Linked DNA regions of Alligator mississippiensis. The protein of the gene in region 1 interacts with the protein of each later gene in a pairwise test. Links are inferred from orthologs where the notes say so. Each region holds a gene or a part of one and is shown in the gene's direction. Other genes may lie near its edges.

Evidence for each region.
Region 2: the proteins of CREB3 (region 1) and HMOX1 interact in a two-hybrid assay, tested with the Homo sapiens proteins (2 studies listed by BioGRID and IntAct). The two-hybrid records come from large-scale screens. The link is inferred for Alligator mississippiensis from reciprocal best matches to the Homo sapiens genes CREB3 and HMOX1.
Region 3: the proteins of CREB3 (region 1) and CDS2 interact in a two-hybrid assay, tested with the Homo sapiens proteins (2 studies listed by BioGRID and IntAct). The two-hybrid records come from large-scale screens. The link is inferred for Alligator mississippiensis from reciprocal best matches to the Homo sapiens genes CREB3 and CDS2.

The regions. Positions count from the first base shown.
Region 1 is NC_081826.1:303,315,007-303,322,926, reverse strand, and holds the start of CREB3 (cyclic AMP-responsive element-binding protein 3), read left to right. Parts: upstream 1-4,919; 5' UTR 4,920-5,001; intron 5,002-5,323; coding exon 5,324-5,500; intron 5,501-5,599; coding exon 5,600-5,846; intron 5,847-5,991; coding exon 5,992-6,101; intron 6,102-6,269; coding exon 6,270-6,347; intron 6,348-6,846; coding exon 6,847-6,953; intron 6,954-7,444; coding exon 7,445-7,513; intron 7,514-7,717; coding exon 7,718-7,802; intron 7,803-7,920. UniProt on the Homo sapiens protein: Endoplasmic reticulum (ER)-bound sequence-specific transcription factor that directly binds DNA and activates transcription. Plays a role in the unfolded protein response (UPR), promoting cell survival versus ER stress-induced apoptotic cell death.
Region 2 is NC_081827.1:101,609,683-101,616,670, reverse strand, and holds the start of HMOX1 (heme oxygenase 1), read left to right. Parts: upstream 1-3,978; 5' UTR 3,979-4,098; coding exon 4,099-4,130; intron 4,131-4,479; coding exon 4,480-4,600; intron 4,601-6,988.
Region 3 is NC_081830.1:25,945,095-25,952,764, forward strand, and holds the start of CDS2 (phosphatidate cytidylyltransferase 2), read left to right. Parts: upstream 1-4,660; 5' UTR 4,661-4,751; coding exon 4,752-4,835; intron 4,836-7,670. Other genes in the region: PCNA (proliferating cell nuclear antigen), read right to left, coding at 26-108, 243-366, 870-1,064, 1,852-1,919, 3,415-3,512, 3,825-4,045. UniProt on the Homo sapiens protein: Catalyzes the conversion of phosphatidic acid (PA) to CDP-diacylglycerol (CDP-DAG), an essential intermediate in the synthesis of phosphatidylglycerol, cardiolipin and phosphatidylinositol.

The DNA.
Region 1 (7,920 bases):
CATGTTCAAGACTCCGAAAACATGTCCCCTCCCCCCAAGGAGCACAGGAGCGAGAGAAGGGAGTAAACAGTGGCTGCTACCAAATATGGAATTAGCAGCGGGATGAAGCCATGGCCCAGGCATCCCGACATCCTGCCGGCACATCCACGGGCCAAGGCCCGGCCTGCCGCAGCGGTCGTCGGGCAGCCGCCAGCCACGGCAGGGCCTCACCCGCGCTCCAGCCGGGGCACAGCGACGCAGGGGCAGGAGATCTGAGAGCGGCAACAGGAGGAGCAGTCTCAGCCTTCCCTTCTGCAAGCACGACCCACCCCGAGCGCGTGGCGGGACCTGCCGGGCTCCCCACAGCACAGGCTGCCTGCGGCAGGCAGGGGCGCTGCCCCGACACCCCAGGAGCGCCCCCACCCCACGTGCCCGCGACAGCAGAGCAGCACAGTGCAGTCTGCAGTCGCGGGCCCTTCCTCCTCGCAGCAGCAGCATGGCACTTCCCCTTTCGGCCTGCGTCCCCTTGCTGTCCCATGGTCTCCCCTCCCCCAGGACGGCCAGGCACGCCAGCACTGGGGAGGCACTGAAGTTATGTGCTCCACCCCATGCCCTCTCCTCTGGGCACAATCGGCCTGTTGTCTGGGGATTAGCGCTCCAACACCCACACCAGCCCAGCCCCATCAGCAGTAGCTTCCACTGGTACCCAAAGCCTCTGGGGGCAGCTCAGCAGCAGGACCAGGGAGGATGGGAGTGAGGGCTCTGCTCTGGAACGGTGCCCAGGCACACGCACTGGTGCTGCAGAGCTGCCCTGCATGTTTGTATCTCCTTGGCCAGTGACTGCTCCCAGGCCAACCCTGCCCTAGACGTGCCCCCAGCGGGGCTGGGGGAGGGAGGGGATGGACGTGCAGCAGTGCAGACCTTGGAGGAAGAGCCTGCCGGCCTGGGCCCTACCCTGACATGGCTCCCCACTGCGGCTCCGGGCAAGTCACTCCAATCAATGCTGGGCGCAGCACCCGCCAGCGTCCTGGAGCCCGCCCTTCCCTCCCAGGGGATGTGCCGATGCACCAGGTATGAGTCGGGTGCAGCACGCTGGCTTCGGCTCCCACTGAGACCCAGTGGGAACTTGGCCAGGTTGGAACTGGCTCACCACGACAAGTGGTTATTAATACCTCTCATGGCGTCAGGGCACTGGCTGGGAACGTCCCTCCTGCCGAGTTGGCAGCTACAAATGGCTCATATGGCATGGTGTGTCAGACCCCAAAAGGGGCAAGCACCAGGGGCTCAGATGGCTACTGGGGTGGTCTGGCCTGACGAGGCTCCCTGCAGGCATGGCAGTCCTGGCCCCTCACCTCCTCCTTGCCCCTCTGCGCTGGCCGGCTCCCGAGCACGTAGTGGGGCACCGAGACCACAGAGGTCTCTGGCCGAGCTGTCCCCGGACCCCAGGCACGAGACACGGAGCTGCTTCCAACACGGGACTCGCTCCTTCCTGTTTCCCAGGGTAGCATTTCTGACCTGGGGAGGGAGCTCAGCAGCACGTGACCCAGGCAGCCCCGGCAGGCCACAGCCTTGCCAGGACCAGCACGGAGCAGCCTCCAGTCCCACACAGGCCACTTCATCAGCACTGAGCGCAGGAAACCCAACCCCAGCCCAACCAAGAGCAAAAGCTGCCCACAGGGTCAGGCTTACTGCCCATCCGCCGGGAGGCCCAGGGCTTTGCAGGACAGCAGCCCCTCCTGCTCTGGTCAAATGCGGTCCGCAGCGGCACCACTCCCCAGCTGGAGACCAGCATGTGTGCCTGAGGCAGCCAGTCTGGACCCTACCAGGCGCCACCGTCACTAACAGAACGGAGTCTCCCCACCTGGGACAGGATCACTGGTGACACCGTCTCCTCCCCATGGGATTTGCCCCATGTACCTGAGCCAAGCTGCCCTCCCCAGGCCAGCGGGAAAGCCCCTGCCCATGAGGGCCAATGCTCCCTGCTTCCAGGCCCTTGCCTTGCACAATTTTCTTCAGCCACACAGTCCTCACAGCCTTCACTTGGAGGCACCAGGTCACTTTGTGCCAAGCCCCGTTGTAGAGGAGAAGATTAAAATTAACTCCAGGCCAGGACCACCAAGGCCCCATCACGAAGCGTGGGCAAGCGAAAGCAACCCCAGCCTCTGCTGGAGGGCCTGAAAGCTGGGCACGAGGGGCAGGAGGCATCCGACGCTGCCAAGCTGGTGCGATGGCATTGCCTCCTGCCCTGCACAAGCAGCAGGACAGCAAGCCCGAGGCAGACATCACGATGCGCAGCATGACACTTCAGGCGCTACTCTACCTGACACGTGGCGAAGGGGAGCGCAACCTCACCCCCGCTGGGGGGCACAGGCGGGCTCAGCACTCATGCAGGGGCAGCACTTGCCTCAGCTGACAGGACTGCTGATGGCTCCACAGCAGTTGCCTCAGTTGCCCTGTAGCCCTGCAAGGCAAAGCTCTGGTGGCACAGCACCGTTGCCCCCGCGCTGCCCCGCAGAGCTCAAAGCAGTCCCACGTGCTCTCCTGCCCATGGAGATACAGCTCATGTCTGCACAGGCGCCAGCGCCAACAAGAGCCAAACAGCATGCCAAGGGACTGGCGGATGGCGCCCCTCCGAAAGCCCAGCCGCAGCGGAGCGGGGCAGCCGTGCCAACATACAAGAGAGGGTCTTGTGCCTAGAGGGGCGCAGCCGGGACGTGGCTCTAGTCAAGGCGACGGCGGCTGGCCCACCTGACCGTGCCCCCATACAGAGGAGCAACCGTGAGCAAACCTGCTGCCTTGAGTCCGGCCAGCCGTTCTCCAGGCAGGAGCAGTCAGAAACAGGCTCACATACCTGTCCAGACCCCTCACGTGGAAATGCACCCCCAGCCCTTCATCTGAGAGAAGCTATCAATCGCCTCACCTGGCGCCTCGCTGTCACAGGAAGGGCTTCGAGATAAAGGCCCCGCCACGCTCTGCAGGGCATGTCGGGGCCCGAAGCCGCTGCCCACAGACCAACGCATCTGCCTGTCCTTCAGCCTGGAGCACAGGCCCACCTCCCTCCCAGGCAGCTTCCCCCTCTGCCCACAGACAGGCAGCCCCTGCGACCTATCCCCTTCAGAAGTCCCCGGGCCCCAGCACGTGCTGGGGACAGCCCGGCAGCTGCCTTCAAAGAAACACTCCAGCTCTCAGGAAATGTGGGCATGGGGTGAACCCGCAACTGGGGCAGGGGAGAGGCACCCCCAGGACAGGTACTGCCAGGACCCCCAGCCCCACGAGGCAACAGAGCTCAGGGGAAGGCGTGAAGGCGAAGAGTCATCAGGTCTCATCAGGTCAGGGCCACAGAGCCGGGAGGATGCCAGGAGGGCAAGCAGCAGACCTCCCGCAGCGAGGAGATCCCTTCCCTGGGGCAGGGACCAGGAAACGCTGGTGGTTTCACAGCCCAGCAGCTGCATGGGACCGGGAAGCCTTACACAGCACAGCGCTGCGGACCTGGGGCTGGCACAGGGAGCGGGCGGGAGCCAGGAACCCTGCAGCAAGAGCTGCAGGACACAACTGACTAAAAATGGAAAGCGCCCAGCTCCGCGCTGCCAGGCCCCGCGGCCACGTCCATTCATCACCCGCTAAGCCAGACACTGCACGGCTCGGCCCCCCGGGCCACAGCCAGCTGGGCTCCACGGCAGGGACCCCCGCCCCCAGCCACGGCCCAGACAGGCCGTCTCGTCTCAGGGAAGGGGGCAGAGCAGGGGGCAAAGCCCCAGGTGCCAACAACGCCAGGGCGGCCCAGCCGAGCACCGCAACACCCCCGGCCCCGGCCCACGTGCGCCACGCTCCTTACACGCGCCCCGCGGGGGAGGGGGCAGCAGGCCCCCCGCGGCGCCGCCAAACCATGGCTCAGCCGCGAGTCAGGATGCCTCACACCCGGGACGGGCGTTGGCACGGCTTCCTGCCCCCCCGCCGCCCCCCAACGGCAGCTGCGGGATCCAGCACCAAGTGCGGCCCCTCCCGCACCCGCCCTGGGGCCCGGCCCGGGGCTCCCGCGCGCGCCGCCTCCCCCCACCCGCACCGCACCGCACCAGGCCTGGGCTCCGCCGTGTCCTCCCGCCCGGGCCGGCCTGCATCTGCTGCCACCGCCCCGCCCCGCCCCGCACACAAACCTGTCGCACAAAACCGTGCCCCGGGCCCGGAGCCGGAGCCGGCGGGCGGGCGGGCGGGCGGGCGGGCGCCACCAGGGCCTGCGCGCGGGGCGGAGGAAGGAAGCGGCGGGCGGGCGGGCGCGGAGCGAGCAGGAGCCGCAGGCGGCCGCGAGCTGCGCTTCCTGCCAAGAGGCAGCGGGCCCCACCCCGCCCCGGCCCGGCCCGGCTGACACGGCGGCACGGCAAGGGGCCGGGCAGGGCCGGGCAGGGCACCGGCACAGCCGGGCGCCGCGCACGGGGACCCCAGGGAGGGCTGCGCAGCGCGGGGCGGCCCGGGCCTGGGGGCCCGCACGCCCAGCGCCCCCCGCCCCGCACATCGCGGGGCGCCCTGCCGCGCACACCTCTTAGGGGCACCCCTCCGCACGCCCACCCCGGGCGCCCGCCTAAGCAGGAGACCCCTGCGGCGCGCGCTCTGGCCGCCCACATCTGGGGACACGCATCTAAGCACACACATCTGCCCCCCCGCTCCGCGGGCACGCACATCTGCCCCCTCCCCCCCCCGTACCTGGCCCGCGGGCTGCGCGGCGCTGCGGGGCGGACGCGGGGCTGGGAGCAGCACAGGGCAGGTACAGAGCGGCACTCTCAGCTTCCCGCCCCACGGCCACTCTGGGCCCTGCGCTCGATGGTGCCGGCGCAGTGAGGGCGCCGGGCGGGGTGAGGCCAATCGGGCGCCATCTTGGGTGCGGGCAGCGCCGCGGCCAATGGAGGCTCGAGGCGGCTCCGGCCCCTCGTGGGGCCGCGCGGTGGGTGCTGGGAGCCGCGGGCGCTGACGTCATTCCTGGTGTGTTGGAAGGAGGCGGCGGCAGCTGCGGAGCCGGGGTCGGCGGAGGTACCGGCGGGCGGGCGGGCGGGGCCGGGAGCCCAGGCGCGTGCACCCCCCGGGCGGGGACCCAGGTGCCCCCCCCAGACAGGATCCCCGGCGTCCGGGCCGCGGGCAGGCGGCAGCGCCAGGTCCCGCCCCGCCCCGCCCCGCCCGGGACCCCCCCCCCCGGGCCCGCCCCGCTCGGGCCCCCCTCCTTCCGTGGCTGGGCCCCTCTCCCTCCCCCTTGGGCCCCCCCCGCCCGGGCCAGGTCCCCCCCTCCCCCTCGGGCCGGCCCCGCCCCCCCTCCCCCCCCGGACGTGGCCGGCCCCGCTGACGGGTGCGCGCGCAGATGTCGGTGTCGGTGGCGGCGGCGGCGGAGCGGGCGCCGCTGGCGCTGGCGGACGGGGTCGGGGTCGGGGACGGGGTCGGGGTCGCGGACGCGGACCGGGACCTGCTGGACTTTCTGCTGGCGGAGGGCGCGGAGCTGCCGGCCGACCCCGGCGCCTGGGGCCTGCTGGAGCCCGAGGTGAGGCTGGGCCCCGGGGCGGGGCGGGGCGGCCCCTACCCCTACCCCTACCCCTACCCCTACCCCGCCCGCCCGCCACGCTGACGCTGGGGTCTGCAGCTCCCGGGAGACGAGGACGTGGACGCTTTCCTCAGCGCCCTGCTGAGCCCCTTCGCGGAGGGCCCGGGCTGCTCGGCCCCCGCGCAGCAGCCCCCGCACAGCCCCGACAGCCGGGCCGCGTCCCCCGGCAGCCCCCCCGGCCCCGACAGCGTCCAGTTCGAGCACAACTACTCCCTGCTGCGGGACGGGCTGTGGCTGCAGCATGCGCCCGCGGGACCCGCCGACGGCGACGTCTTCATCGACCTGGGTGCGCACGGGCCGGCCCCGCGCCGAGCCGCGAGGGGCAGGAGGCTGCGGCCGGGGCTGCCCCGAGCCCCCGGGCCCAGGAGCTGGTGGGGGAGGCTGCGGCTCCGTGGGGCGGGGGTCGTCTGACCCCTTCCCTCCTCTCCCAGACGCGTGGGCCGGGCTGGAGAGCGCGGAGGAGACCTCGGGCAGCGAGCAGAGCTTGAGCTTCCCCGTGGCCGTGGCCGTGGAGGACGTCGTGCCTGGGACCCCCACGCAGGTACAGCCCCTGCTCCCAGGAGTCCTGCAGACGGGCCGGCAGGTGCCCGCGGGGAGGCCTGTCGGGTACCGCGGACTAGCGGAGGCTCCTGCGCGGGGACAGTCCTGGTTCCCGGCGCCCGCCCCGCCTGGCGCTTCCTTCCTTACCCTGGGGTTTGCTCGTCTCCAGCTGGACCTGACGGAGGAGGAGAGGCAGCTGCTGGAGAAAGATGGCGTCACACTGCCGTCCCACCTGCCCCTCACCAAGGTGAGCCCTTGCCCGCTGGCACCGCACCCCTCCCCAGGCAGGGGTTCAGGTGTGGGCACAAGTGCTGAGCAGCAGCCCCAGTCCCCGGGGCCGTGGCACGTGGCTCAGCCTCGGTGGCTGGAAGGGGCAGGGGGCCAGGCCCCCACTGCTGCTGGCCCCACTCCTGTGGCTGCCCCCAGCCGGCTGCTGTGCTGGACCTGCAGCCACTGCCCCTCGCCCTCCTGGCAGCCAAGGCGTCACCTTGTCACGAGGGGCCTCGCTGCGCTCATGCAGGGAGCGGGCAGCGGAAGGATGGAAGCTGCCCGGCCCGTTAAACTGCCAGGCCTGTGTGCAGCCAGCCTTGTCCCGGGGGCCAGGGCTAGCGGCTCTGCCCTGTCCGCCTCCCTGCCTGTGCAAGGTACCTGCTGGCCGCGGGCTAGTGGCTGCACGGCCCAGGGTCCAGCCTCGCTGCCTGCCTTGGTGCCGGGGGCACGGCCAGTGACAGCAGTGACTGTTGCAGGCTGAGGAGCGGCTGCTGAAGAGGGTGCGTCGCAAGATCCGGAACAAGCAGTCGGCCCAGGACAGCCGCCGGCGCAAAAAGATCTATGTGGATGGGCTGGAGAGCAGGTACCAAGCCCGGCGTGGGCGGAGGGAGCCACGCATCAGTGATGTGGGCATGTCCCCCTGCCACAGCGCCTGTAGTAGGGGCTGTATCCATGACCTGGGGCACGGGGAGCAGTTCCATAGGAGGTCCTGTTAGCCCCACAGCCTCGCCCAGCTGCCATGCTGCCCCTGCGGGGCAGCTGGAGCTCTTGCTCCTGTGGCTGAGGGCCCAGCCCCTGCTGTGGAGAGCCAGGCCCTCTTCCTCTGGGAGCCTCCGCCTCTTCTGCTCACGTCCCATGGAGCCCTGCCCTGCCTCGTCAGCTGGGGGCTCCTCCCAGGTGCCTAGCACAAGGGCCCTGCCCCCGTAAGACCTTGGGAGCCCAGTGCTAGGAGGGCCGAGTCATGTGCAAGGAGCCGGGCCCTCCTGCCCTGCGCCGTCAGCCCCCAGGCGCTGAGCTGAGCCCCCAAGTCTGGTCTGGCTGATGTGCTGTCTTGTGTCCCCTGCCTGCCGGAAGGGTGGTAGCCTGCACGGTGCAGAACCACGAGCTGCAGAAGAAGGTGCAGCTGCTGCAGAAGCAGAACATGTGAGTCCCCAACGTGAGCACCTGGCAAGGGCAGCGGGGCCCTCTGTGGTCCTGAGCCCCTGCAGGGCAGCACCAGCGACTGGTGCAGAACAGTCCGAGCCTGTTTGCCAGGCACGCTGGAACTACGGGACCAGGGGGGATGGGAGGAGGCTGGCCTGGCCCGGGGCTGCGGCTGTGCTCACCCCGTTTCCTGCTCTGCTGCAGGTCGTTGCTGGAGCAGCTGCGGAAGCTCCAGGCCCTGGTGCGACAGTCCTCAACCAAGACTACCACAGCCAGTACCTGTATCGCGGTGAGTGGCCCAACAGCCAGGCCAGGGCCTGTCCCCTGTGCCGCGGGAGCCTCTGCCAGCCCACACACTCTCTCCTGCAGGGGCGCAGGGCTCCCAGCAGCGTTCGGTCCCCAGCCTT
Region 2 (6,988 bases), on another chromosome or scaffold:
CATGCAGGGGCATGCTGGGACAACCAGCAGCAGCACAAATATGTTCCACTGCTATTTGTCCAGCGGGAAATGCGTGCCCCTGTTTGTGCACACTCATCGGGGCATGCCCTATTTAGGTGGGTACAATAAATAGTCACTTTATTTAGCTTATCTGGAACTAGAGACACTGGCAGCTTTAGAACTGCAGAACTGCAGGTTTCTAGCAGGATTTCCAGCTGTTTTGCAGACTCCCAAACTACGGCATGCCGAATCCTAAAGCTTACACAGCAGAGGAGGAGACAAGCCTTTTGATTATCCTGAGAAACCCTTTCAACAGCCTCAAAAAGTGCATGCTTGCCTCCTCGTTTTGCTGAGTCACGGCAGCCTAGGTTTACGCCCTGGAATGCTGAGTAACTGTTTCCATCCGGGCAGGGCTTTTTTGCTGAGTCACAGCAGGCCAGGCGCTCATGTGAGCCTGTGTGTCAATCTCATGGCTTCCTGGGCTGAGATTGCAGCTGTTTGACTTGGCTCCAGTCCCATTCTGGACACAATCAGACCTCAGAATGCTCTGGAAATTATTCCATGCAAGCTGGTTTCTGTTATCTTAAATCTAGGCATGTACTATGCAGGGAAGGAGACGCAAGTTATTTGTCCCCTTAGAGCTAACAAAGCTGACTGGAAGGAACTGGAATGGGACGGTCAACAGCCTTTTGTGATGTTGGGAGCTGTGGTAAAGCAGAGCTTTCTTTCTAACTCCTGCTGATTCCCTCAGTCTGAGAAAGACACAGTCTTCCAGAAAATGTCCCTGTTAGTGAAGCTGTCAAAGGATGTGGTCCCCCAGTAGTGAAAACCCTTATGCATGTTCTTCATCTTGCATATGGGAATCATCTACTTTTGACTTCAAAATGACTACACATCAGCAAAAAGCTAAGTACAGGTGGGAGTGTTTATAGAAGCAGGGCTTATTTTGCTATTTAATATGTAATTTTCCTTTGGCCCTGTCTTCCTGTCCTCTCACTGCCCGTGGTTTTTTTTCCCCTGGTGTGTTTGTGGAGCGACAGGGACCAGTGAACAGATGAAGCCACAGATGGGGGGACTTTGTCGGTACAGTGAGCGTGCTGCAGGATTTGCTAGTGTTTTCCTGATCTGTATGCCCTGAGTCGAGTGGGACTGTATGTGCCCGCAGAGCTTGTCGGTGCCTGTGTACTCCCACCACACTACCAGCAGAATTAACGTAACCTCCTTGTGTACCATCCAAGTGCCCTGGGGAGCTCACTGGTTTCCAGGGCCACTTATTTAATACATAGCATGTGTCCTCTGGAGCATTTCTTATTGCAGCCCTTGGCATGAGTGTTACCATACGTTCAGGCTGGTTGCCAATGCTAGGAGTTCTCCTTGCATTTGGAGCCCTTCCTTGACTAGGATTCCTACGGGCACACTGGATACACTGTCTGGACTGCATAGCCATCAGCATGGGGTATTTTTTACTGCAAACTCCCATTGTTTTGCCTCTCACCTTGTCAACACTTTTTCCTTGAAATTTGTCTGTGCTGTGCAAACCCATTACGCAGAGTGACTAACTGAGGAATCCCTCCGCACTCTATTCCCATGTCTCTAGAAGTGCAAAGCTTTTGGGATCCACCTCTATATAGGCATACTTGACATGTTAGGAGCATATATTTTCAGAGTTCCTACTCTGACCACTGCTCTGCAACTCAGACCGCACCTTTGATCTCTAAACTGAAATTGTTAAATGACTCTCAACAGCTGCACCATATCTGTGGTAACTAGGCTGGGCCATATTGCTGTAGGTAATGAAAAATGAGTCTGTGCACTGTTAACATCCTCTCAATGATGCCATTGCCCATTGCGGGCTGGGGTTGCTATAACACTTCTCCCCAATGAGACTTGCTTCTGTTCTTAGGGGAATGATTTTTAAACTCTGTGAAGCTGTTGCCACCTCTACTGTGTCTCTTTTAATGAGGGATTCAAGCCGCTTTCTCTCTGTTCCATTACAGGCTAAAATTACTGAGTCAACCTTTCCCTCTCACACCAAGAGCCTACATTCAGCTGTGCCCCGGTCTGGCAAATACCCCTTGTTTGTCACGCGGTAGTTTTTAGAGAACGCTGTATTCTCTGCTTTGCCTATCCTCTGGGCTTGCACACCGTGGCTGGAGAAGGGAAACGCAGAAGTGGGACTGTGAAAGGGTTCTCCTCCAAAGGGTCTTCATAGCAGGCCCCAGGGAGGGACAGACCCCAAGCAGACAGACAGTACTGGTTTTTTGTAAAGTACTTCAATGTAAAAGCCTGGAGGATCAGAACTCTTGGGGAAAAGGCCTAGGACATAGTCTCTTTTCCCCTCAGGACCATCATTTCATTTCATTGAAGTTCACTTTAAGTTCATAACACTTAAGTTGGTTTTGCAGTGTCCAGCCTCTTGGCACTTTTCCTGTAACTGTAGCACCAGTATTGTTGCATGTCAGATCCTCCAGGAAAGAGTCAAGATAAAAAGGTGAGTAAAATTTCCTTTGGAAACTGAGGCAGGGCAAATAGTGCTAGGGCAGACCATAAGGAAGTGTTGCAGAGGCCAGCTCTTCAGCATGCCTTCAAATATCACAGACTTAAATAAAAAAATAAAGGGAGGAGTTTCTTTCATACCAGGCAAATGTACTCTATCAACAGTAATGCATATATTAGAGTTTCCCACATTCTACCGGGGCTTGCTGAAGAGAGCTGAATTTCTGTGTCCCAGAGGAGAATAATGCAAGAGGAGAATAGTCACTTCATGGCTGCCACCTTCACTGACACGGAGTCTCTCCAGATTCTCCACGTGCAGCTTCTGATCACTGCACAGGACATCCAAAATCAAAAGCATATTCCCGGCTTTGTGAAGGATGCAGCATCTCAGTAGAGACGCATGTTATACCTGCATATGTGTGATACATTTATTTTATCCTGCATGGTCAATGCAGAAAAATAGCAGCAGGAAGAATGCAAAGATATAGGACTGAGAAAGGAAGCCGAGGGCTTTACAAGACTTTTCTGGAAGGCTCCTGTTGCTTTAAGAGAAAGGGGTAGTCGGAGAGTGGCCCCGCTGAGTCAGCTGTAAAAATGCTGCATCATATTTCCTGAGCAGACAACTAACTCCACTTGATGCAAAAACATATGAAGGCATACAATTCTTGAGGGCCTAATTTCACACCAGAGTACTGGAGCAGTCTGTAATCAGTGCCAGGTACCGTGCAGGCTAGGAGTCCAAGTCAAGCGGCTCTTGCCCTGTTTCCTTGGCAGAACTGCAGTCCCATTTTAACCGTAATCCCCAAAGCAAAGCCAGTGGATCCATTTTTCATTGTCACAGGCCAAGCTTCTGAAATTTGGAGATAAGCACCCCCCATGGGCCCTCTGACTTCCAGTTATTAATTTCCCCAGATAAGTTAGTTGGCAGACACAAACCAGTCGCAGACACAAGCCAGCCAATTAATGAGCCATGTAGTTACTCTTGCCCCTAGACCCAGGTCACTTGAACTATTTGCAGACCTCCAGCTCCACCTCAGGCCCAGACCTGGCACATCAATTTTTAAGTCCTTAACATGTACTTGGATAATTCAGCCTTCTGTATGGGGCAGGGGACAATTCCCCGTCCTCGCATAATACACTACAACTTGCTGTGCTGGCTGTGGAACATGATAGCTAATGACCTTGCCCACGTTCCTCATTTGCATTTAGTCCTCCTTTAAATGGACCCCCCCCAGCCCCCTTTTTTTTTGAAAGTCAGCGTATGTACAAGAAGCTTGGACCATTTATTGTTCTGGATTATCTGGTTCTCATTGTCACAGCAGAAAAGGGGTTAATAAGCCTGGGCAAGCTGCCTAGGAGAAGTCTCTCAGCCCTCTCCTGGTAGCAAAGTATGTATGTCGCAATAAGTTTAAACTTGGATGGAGGCCAGCTGTTTTCTGGGCTGCTCACGTGATCTGACAAAGTATAAAGCAGGACGCAGGGGACGGGCAGCTCAGCTCAGCAGCTTCCAAGAGTCCTGAGACGAGAGAGAACGGAGAAGAGGGAAAGATCATACGAAGGCTGTAGAGGAGCAAAGAAGAGAAGAAAGAAAAGCAAAGAGAAATGGAAACGTCCAGGACGGCCAGCCCTGAAACGTGAGCGAAGGGACTAGAAACAGAGGGAAATTATCCAAAGAAAGGAACAGCCTTGATCTCCCCGTGTTCCTTGAGATAGGGATTTGGGGTCCCATTTCTACCTCTTCTCCACTGGGAATAGGATACTCCCCTCCACCTAGGGTTTGACAGTCTTCACCCTGTCCCCTGCCTTGTTTGGACAGAAGCTGGAATGCTGGTGAACCTCCGCCACCCATGCCCTCCTGGGGTGGGGTACTGCTTTCTCTTCCCGGCCTCCACCCCTTACTTGCTCCCAGAGAGCTAATTCTCATTGTGCAGGGGATAGTGAGGTACCTTAGACGCTAACACCTTTTTCTGCCCATTTTCCCAGCACAACCAGAGACCTGTCAGAGTCCATAAAGGAAGCCACCAAGGAGGTGCATGAACAGGCAGAGAACACAGAGTTCATGAAGAAGTTTCAGAAGGCAGAAGTGTCACTCCAGGAATTTAAGGTACTCCTGGTAGCATTGTTTGGGGCTGTGAGGGAAAGGGTTGGGTGATGCAGGGGGTGCACTTTGGGAATATTTATCTATACCTAATTCAGACTGGCTGTGCCAAGAGTATCATTTGCCCTCCTTTCTCCTTAAGGAATAAAGTCTTTGTATCCCAACCACATAATATCACGTCACTTATAAGATGACCATTTGGCCCAAAGCAACTCGAGGGCTGTCTAAGTGTCTTACCAGCTCCTCTTGCCAATGGTGTGGTAGAGTTGTACGTGTCTTGATGGATGGCAAAGAGGGGCATCATATAAGCCTTGGAAGGCTAGGCTGAGGGGCATCTATAAAAGGATGCATAGGCTGAGGGGCATAATATAAGCCTTGCCTTGCCAAGGCGGCATAAAGAAGATAAAAGAACTCAAGGGAATGCTTTACAAAGAAGTACTCAAGCAACTGAATGCCAGGGGTTTTACTATGGTTAAGTGATGTCTAATGGTGGTATAATTGTATACAAACATATGAAAGGTTACAACACCAGTGAAGGTGAAGAACTCATTACAATCATGATGGTGCTCAACCTCTAGCCAACCAGCCAGATGGACCCCTGGAGGCCATGTCATCCAGCCAGGGGGTTTTCCCACATATTAAAAAAAGATGGCAGTGGTAGAGTGGTGGTAGCTTTACTTGCCACTCCCGTGCTGCCAATTTTCTGGACCTGTGGAGAGCTCCACAGGCAGGATGATGTGGCCCGGTGTGCTAGGCTGCACCCGCACACAGTGAGGCCCAGATCCAGCATGCAGACTGGCCCTGAGCCACACATTTGGCCCGTGGGGCTGGAAGGTTGAGCACCATTGCATTAGAACAGTCTGAGTGGGTATAAATTAGAAGTAATAAGGGTTAATAAAACTGGGACAGCTTGACTTGGTTATTGAAAAGTATTTTTTAAAAGCAAGGTCTGTCAGGTTGTAAAACAGTTTCTGGCACTTTGTCCTTCAATATAAGAACTATAATGTGGTCCTGTACTGAATGTGAGGGCGCAACTGCTCAGCTCACCCATGAATTTGAGTGGACTCTATCTGTTGCAAACACCCAAGAGCTCACTGTTTTTGTTCAGTTCTAGTAGAACAAGTTATAGATGCTATGTAAACCAAACCCTGGATAAATAATCCTGAGCCACATGCCAAAGCCATAAAAAATAGGGAAGCCACCTAAGCTGGAAAGCCCTATTAAACAACAGGAAGTGACGCATGGATTGTCAAGTTGTGTGTGTGTGGGTGATCCGGTGTGTAAATGCTTTATTACTGAGCTGGAAGTGCTTTGTTGTTGAGCTGGTCTCTGTTCTGAGTATAGGTGCATGGGAAAGGAGAATACTGGTGATGTGTTGGAAATAGCTAGGCTAAGTCAATTATCCATCGGTTCCTGAGGATAATCCTAGGTGTTGAACTCCTGCCACTAGAGATCCAGCATAGCCTAGTGAAATCCAGAAGGTGCTCATAGGAACACAGACAGTGAGGCCCTGCAGAGACCAGAGGATAGGATCCGTTTCTAAAATATTCACGTGCTGTCTGAGAGAATCAGATGTGACGGTGGGCTGTTAAATACAGACCTCACCGGTTGAATTTTTCAGCCCCAACCAAAAGACACACAACTTGCACTGATGTCTTAGTTGGCTTGGAAAATATCAGTTAACCTAGTTAAGGCTCCTTCAAGTACCGTTTCTGTATTTTATCTATACTGTTGTCAGACTTTTCCAAGTACCTGATGAACAGGATTAGAGTTTAATGGGTTCATATTTCTGTATTACATTTCTTGTAATTTACAGATTTACTCTGAAAAATGGCTATGTAGAAAGAGCACTTTCTTCCTCATCCAAGTTGCTTACAAGTGTGTGCATTCGGAGTCCTATCTGTTGACTGGTTGCAAAAGTAGATGTACTGCTTTTTAGTGCTGTCGGTCCTGCAGACGCAATGCCAGTCCATGAGAATGAACAAGTTTCTTTTCTGGTTTGTATACCAGCAACAGAACTTGTAAACAAGCCTGAGCCATCTGTGCCGCTTTGTCTTCACTAAGGCCTTTCAAGACTGACTAAGGGCAACGTTCGAATATGGTGCTTATGTAAACATACGCATCCTTTCTTACTGGTGACAATGCATGGGATGAAAAGAAACCCACTTTCAAATAAAGAAACAAGCACACAGCTCATACCAATATTTTCAGAAAATCATGTTTCAGAGATGGAAACATGCTTTTGGTCCCTTTTTTACACCAGCAGTCAACTATCAGAGGAAAGACATTGCTGTCTAGCTTCCAGGTGATCAAAGTGAAAGCAAACAAGTAGCCCTATGTAAAGTTCCAAAAGCAGCGGACTGAGGCTGCAGTTTCAGTGCCTGGGCAGATCTG
Region 3 (7,670 bases), on another chromosome or scaffold:
TGGAACTTCCTCAGTCTGAGATCATTTAAGAGCCTTCTTGTTGATCCTCAATCTTTGGAGCCAGGTAGTATTTTAAGTGTCCCATATCAGCAATCTTGTACTCCACAACTGAGGAAAAGGGAAGAAAGACACCACAGGTAAATCAGTTAACTTGTAGCACCCACAAAAAAAAAGTTTAGTTTACAAGAGGGTCAAGATTTTGGAATTCAACTAAAAAAGTAGCGACAGCTGCCTCCTCTTACCAAGGGGAACATCTGCAGACATGCTGAGCGTTACTGTAGGCGACAAAGGAGTTGCTTTGGTAAAGAAGTTCAAATACCTCAAAGCAAAAGTCAGCTGGACTGCCTCATTCATCTCTATTGTAACCTAACAAAGATGTTTAAAAACCAAACAAAAAAGTTAAAACAAGTAGTGCACCTCTTGGGCAATCAAAGTTATTGGCTCTTAGCAGCATTTCTGTCCTCTTACCCGTTTGGATGGAGAAATTGTTTTGTGTTCCAGCTCTAAGCACAGCCTGGTACTAGCACAACTTCAGCTGAACCAGCTGTTCAACCCTAAGCTCTGCGTTTGCATAAATCAAGGATATTAGTTTTGCTGTAGACCAGCAACTTTTTCCTACCTCTGTTCTTTCAAACCCCCTTTAGATCAGGGTTCTGGAGTAAAGATATAGGAAATGCTCCATTATGTTTGCTGTAATCATTTCAGCCACCTTAGTTCTCTAAACCCAGAGAGACTCAATATATCTTTTATTATTCTACTTGTAACTTGTAGAGCGTGGCAGCAACAGATGTCATTTTTTATTATTATTATTATTATTTATTTATTTATTTATTTTTTTAAAAGACCTCTTAAAGGAAATCTCAACTTACAGCTTCTTCCTCTTTATCAACATTACTGGTCTGGGACAGTTTGATGTTTCCACTTCCTAGCTCTCCATTAGCTGAAAATTTGACACCATCTTTTGCACATGAGATAACAACTGCATCTCCAATATGGCTTAGATCTCTGCAGATGCGTGCAAATTCAGCTGAAGGCATTTTCACAACACAACTGTATTCTTGTTCCTGTAAGGAAAAAAAGAACAAACAAAAAAAAACAGAAACTGGTCTCAGATCATAGGTCCTCAAGGCTGAACTAAATAAGGCATGTTACAGCTTAAAAATTTACAGTAGAAGATTTCTACTCCTTATGAAAAAGGAGAACAGCATCTCAAGGGTTGTAGTCCTCATGTCTAGGACAAATTCACTTGTCTTACTTGAGGAAAAAGATAAGCCTGTTACTTAAACTGGTAAAAAAAAAAAAAAAAAAGGAGGACTTATTTAAATATCTTCTATACCTTTAATCTAATATGCTTACATAACATCCTTTGAAAATACCTTAAGTCTGTGTTTATAAAGAATAGACTGCTGAACTGCATTATGGCAAATCTGAATACCGAACTTTACTCAAGTACTTCCAGAAAGCACTGGGGAGCCTACTCCCTTTTGAACCACCTCAAAACTATGAATAATCACTTGTGAGCTTTACCTTCAGTGGGCATAGCCAACAGGGGTCAATTAGTGCACCTCTCTTTGTAAAAGGAAGTGCTTAAAAAGGTAGGTTACAAAACGCACTGTCCTCCTGATCATGCATTTGAGAACTGAAGAGCCAAGTCAACCACTATCCACAGTGATCACCACTTCAAAAACTCTAGGCTATTCCTAATGCTTCCCATGGGCCATCTTAAAACTATCCCACTGAGGTGAGGAACTGGGAACACAGAAAATTTTAGAAGCCTTCAACATTAACATTTTACTCTCACTTATGAGTATTAGCAATTAAATTTAGCTCAGACAAAACAAAATGGCTTACTGGGATGCCAAGCTGTTCCACATCCAAATCCATTAGTTTCATCTCATAATCGGAGACCTTTTCTTGATCTAGGAGAAAAACATCAAAATACATCTGTGTGTTTGGTGAAGCAAAGTTAAACCTGTGTTTTGCAGTTAGATCCTCTTAAACTTTTACACAGAAAAGAAAAAAAGTGATATTCATAGATTGTAAGGCTGGAAGGGACCTTGGAAGATCATCAGGTCCAGCCCCATGCACCAAGCAGGAAAGATAACCGAGGGTCAGGTGACCCCAGCAAGGTGACTGTCTAGTCTCCTCTTGGAGATTTCCAGGGTAGGCAATTGCACCATCTCTGGAAGGAGCTTATTCCAGGCTGGACACCTCAACTGAAGTTTTTCCTAATGTTGAGCCTGAATCAATCTTCCAGGAGTTTGTGCCCATGACTCCTAGTTTTCCCCTTGGGTGCCCTATCAAACAGCTATGAGCATGCCACCCCACCCCAAGTCACAGGACACAAGACATTTCTTGGTGCAACTACACAAGTATCCATAAAAGCTTCTGGTCATTTAGATGATCGTCATCTACTGTACTCAGCTAAAAAAAATAAATAAATAAATAAATAAATAAATAAATAAATAAATAAAAAAAGTATACACATCACACAAAGCTTTTGAACTAGGTACTAGCATAAACCAGATGAGTGGTTCTCACACCACCCCATCATGGCGAAGGGCCTTGACTTTGGATGCCACTTTATTTTGTACAATTTCAAAGGCTCATCTGTATACTACAGTGCTCAGCTGCTTTCAGGAGAACCAATCAGTGAAGATGGAGAGGAACCAGCCAGACAGAGACAAGCCTGAGCCTCCAATTATCTAATTATATCTGCATACCTCCAAAATATCTGGCAGCACTTCAACACACTGCGGGACCCTGGTTGTGACTCAATGATTCAAGTGTTCACTTCCAGCCTCATCTGCCTATTAACTTAATAAGAGGCACTCATTTTAGTCTTCAAGTAGTGCTGCAAGTTCAAAAACTGACACTTTTTTTTTTTTTGAGGGGGTGTTTATTTTTATGCGCATGTGAGCTTTTAAGTGTTTCCTACCTTTGCTGAGGCAAGGATTTCATAGGGTGATCTCTTTGATTAGATAAACAGCACAGGATAAGAGCTAGACAAACTTTTGGAAGCAAGACATTTATCAGGCCTCCTGCATCCCAGCTGTACAGTTGGCCCAAGAGATGACCTTACAAAATCCCTGCCTATCACCTCATTCTCAGACCCCTGCAGCTCCAACATGGCTTGAGGCACCATACCTGTGAGGACTCATCTGACTTCTTTGCTGCTCATGTGACCAGACTCTGGAACTGATTCCCAGCGGAGGTGGTGCAGACACAACCTAGAGATCTTCACAAAAGTTTAGGGCTGGAAGGGACCTTGTGAGAACACAGGGGTAAAGGAGACTAGATGCACACCCTGCAGGGGTTGTTTGAACCCAGTAGTGTTTCTTGTCCAGGGGCTGGACCCAATGATCTCATGAGGTCTCTTCCAGTCCTAAACTTCTGTGAAGTACAGGTACTTACTTGGGGCCTCGAACACCAGGGCCAGGGTGTCTGCATTGTCTTCTGCTCGCAGCGTGATGATGTCTTCGTTGCCAGCACACTTCAGAATTTTGGACATGCTGCAGCAAGGGCTAGACTAGTTAGACCAGCCCAGGCAAGGCATCCTGACCCACCACATCCACTCTTCCTCCCCCCAAGCCCTGCAAGCCGTTTCCAGGCCAGAGGAGCAATGCACTGCAGGGGCCACATCCACCCTTCCCCTTCCCACCAGGCAGAGCTGCCGAAACTCCTCCCCCCGCAGGGGTTCTTTCCCGCCACTGCGCGCGGGAAAACCCTGAGCGCGGGGCGCCGGCGTGACGTCACCGCGCACGCGCGCGGCACAAACGGGACAAGCGTTGCGCTCCAAGCCCCCACAACCGCCCCCGTGGCACCTGGTCAGGTTGACGCCCATAGCGATGTTACGGTCGCAGCGGTAGGTGTCGAAGCCCTCGGAGCGCAGCGTGAGCTGCACCAGTGAGACGTGCGAGGAGTCCATGCTCTGCAAGCTGATGCCGCCCGAGCCCAGGTCCCAGCAGGCCTCAGTGATGAGGTCTTTAAGCGCCTCTAGCACGCGCTTCAACACCGAACCCTGCACCAGCCGCGCCTCGAACATGGTGACGAGAAAAAGCTACTAGACTGCTGCTTCTCGGGGCGCGCCAACGGCTCTCTTTATAGCGCCTCTGACCTCACGTCCGGGTCCCGCCTCCCCGGCTTCTCCACCAATCGCAGCAACCTGAAGCCCCGCCTCCTTGCCGCCAATCTACCGATCCGTGCCCACCAGCGGGATCGTGCGCGAAAAATGAAAGCTCCTCCTTCCGGCCAATCAGAGCCTGGGAGTCACCGGTAGTTCCGCCTACTTGGGATTCTGGACAGAATCCCGCCCACGTGCTCTGCAACCGCCAATCCCCACGCAGGTAACAAGCAGCGCGTTTCCTCCCACCAATCGAGGCCGGCCTTACAACCCGCGTTGTTTCACAAGGCTGCGAGGGTCGGCTGCTCGGCCCTGCCTCTGGGATGCTCCCAAAGCAAGAGTGCCGTGCCCAGGGGCTGCTACAGGGAGCTTCACGGCGTCTGGGGGATGGCTCATGTACAACCGCCATCGGCGTACGCCTATCATGGCAGCCACCACAGGCCGGGGAGGAGGAGGAGGAAGAGAAGAGTTCCTACATCCGGGTCAGGAGGGGCAGGGCGGGGCGAGGCGAGTGGCCTCGCCTCCTTCCCGGCTCGCGCTGCTCCCATTGGCTGCGGCGGCGCCAGGCGGATGGAACGCTGGGGCCTGGGCGCACGCGCTGCTGCTGAGGTTCGCAGCGGGGCTCAGCATGAGCGAGCTGCGGCAGCGCCTGGGCCGGGAGCCCGACGACAAGGTACCGGGGCGGGGCCTGGCGCCTCCCGCCTGCCCGCAGGTGTAGTGAGGGCTGCTCGGCCCGACCTTGCGGAGCGCGGGGGTTGCAGCGGGGCGGGGCAGCGGTGCAGTGCAGTGCAGTGCAGTGCAGTGCAGTGCAGTGCAGTGCAGTTCATCTGGGTTTGTATGTCGGTACAGCTCGGGTGGCTGGGGCGTGGGAGGCACAGCCTCAGTGCATCCCTGCCTGAGCTGGGCCATGTAAGCGTTTGCTCCCCGGGCGTAGCTCCCAGAGCCCAGAGGGATCCACTGCCAGGGCACCACTAGTAATGTGCCAAATGGGTTGTCAGCTGCACCCTAGGGGCCAGCTGGCTAGGGAGAGCTTGCATGTTGACTTCTGTATGCATAAATGCTGGTAGCATCACACCCTTAATTTCCAAGACCAAGATGAAGATGTTTTAGGGAACCAGGCTGTAGCCAAATTCATCTCTCCTCAACTCATTAATTCCTGTGAAGTAAAACACTAACTGTTTAGCAAGGCATTTCCACTCTCTTTGGCTGCAAGACGCCACGTCTAAGAGCGGGTACTGAGTTGCCATGGGATTGGCCCAGCCTGGTGCTTCTGGAGTCTCATGGGACTTGAGGCCTAAACCATTGTTAAGATGGGGTGAGAGAGCTGTTCTTTCACTGTACGCTATTACTGTACGTGCTTCTGCCAAAGCCCAATCCAGATGCTTGGAGAAATAGAGCTAAAAGGTTGGCTGTCCTTCACTAAGTCATTTGCACTCTCACCCTCTTAAAGGGTGCCCCTTGGAAGATGTGAGCAACTAAAAGCATGGACTTTCAAGGTAAAAGTCCTATTTTGAAAAAGTCTTTGGGGTTCTTTGCCATTCACAACCCTATGGGCCTCAGGAATCAAGCTGAGGGGGAAATTGTAATTACTCTTGGCTGTTTCATGCTCTTACCTTGGCCTTGTCAGCTACCATTTGGCTTGCATTTATGTTAGAACAAAGTTCTGGTTCTAATTCCAAGACAGCAGTGGAGTGCTTCAACCACGTAACCTTGAAAAGGTGAAAAGCTTTCTGTGTCAAGTAAACATCAAGTGATCACTTGAAATTCTTTTGTTTTTTTTCTCAGCCGAAATCTTTGCATTTAAAATTACTTAAGACATCCTTTTTTAGCAGCTAGCGCAAACTGTAAAATAAAGCATCATCCTTGGGTCTAATTACTTTCTTGGTTGCTATACAATTATAGAGCTGGAAGAAATGACTCTAGAAAATGGGATTGCTGGAAGCTTAACTTTTGATGAAGATGTAAAATGCCTGACTGCCTGGTAACTTGTAAAGCTTTACGGTGTTTAAATTTACCGACTTGGTTTAGCTTTGCTTTTCTATATTAAACAAGAGTGGATGGAAACTATCACCCTCTTGATAATTGACTGTTTGCACTGCATTTTTGCACTGTAGCAAGGTGACTTAACTCTTCCTGTGCCTGAAGAAGGATGTTTGTACCTGAAAGCTTGCAAAGAACAATTTTTCCAACTATAGTCTAATAAAAGATATTGCATTTACCTAAAGAACCTTGTCTGCCTATGTCCTTAGACCAGTACAGCTACAACCAATAGCCCTGTTGTATCCTGGTACTTTTGTGGGAGTTGGAATGCTTCCTTGGGAGCATTGGTATTGCTCAACTGGTATGCATACTCTCAGCAAGCAGAGTTGTCTTAGCTATGTGGGACACAGAAGGCCAAAGGGCTGTTTCTTAAAGTCTGATCTCATCAGACCCAAACCCCTGATCTCATCCGATGCATTTTTACATACAACAGGATTCCTTTAGTTAGCATTTAAGTAATGCATCCAAAATGCTCTCCATACAAGTTGGGGTTAACTGAATATCCTAAAATAATTTGAACAAACACAATGCACAGGGCCAAGAATTACATCAGCCCCACTGCCCTCAAACAAAATGTTGAAGCAAACCCCTCTCCTTCATATTCCATCGCTGACCTGCTGCCACTGACTGAATTTTGTATTCAACAGAACATGGTATAGAATAGGCAGCAAAGAACATCCTGAAGGCTGAAGTTGGAGTGGAATGTAACTGTCTGAACTGCTGAGTTGGCCAGTATCTCTCCTAATAATAATGTATTCCTTAAAACCGCACAGGGTCGGGGTCTAGGATTAGGAACTCTTGGAGGCTAGCATTGTGTTGTCTTCTGGTGTCTGCAAAGTGTCTGTAGCATACTGTGGGCATACCATCAATATACAAGACAGCAATTCAGTGAAACCTGTGCTGATACCTTAAGCCACTAGCAGGAGGTCTTCTTGAATTTTATCAGGGATGTCCCCTGTTCAGACATCCTTGTGAGTCTTCCTTTACTTACTTTGTCTCCCAGCCATAGCATAGCCAATAATATTAATTCTAGTACAGTATGCCTGTTATATTTCACAGCAGGGGAGGCTGCTTTCAAAAGGACACTGAATTTGTAAAGAGAAACCAAAAAGAATGCACTTGGTTTCATTTTTTTAAAATAAATTGTTCTGTTAGTTTTAAAACTAAAACTGGAAAATTCTTAATCTGGCTTTTCTGCCTTAGTTTTCATTTAGCTCATCTTTGACAATGGAAACAGGAAGGTGTGTTTCATTTTGTGGTGCTTCTTTTGCTAAGGTAGTGCACTAGCTGTGCTGTTGCCCTTTACAGTGCTCATGGGATTGTGTAAATGCGAAACCACATGAATGTTACTGAAATGAAAACCTCCCCTTAAGGTAGCTTGCAAAAGAAGTTCTGACTGTAAAAGGTCAGCATTATTTTACTCTTCCCTTCAGATCACAATTTAACATTTGATTAGGGAAGCTTGAATTGTGACTGCTACCCTTGGAATAAATAGGATTTGAGTGAT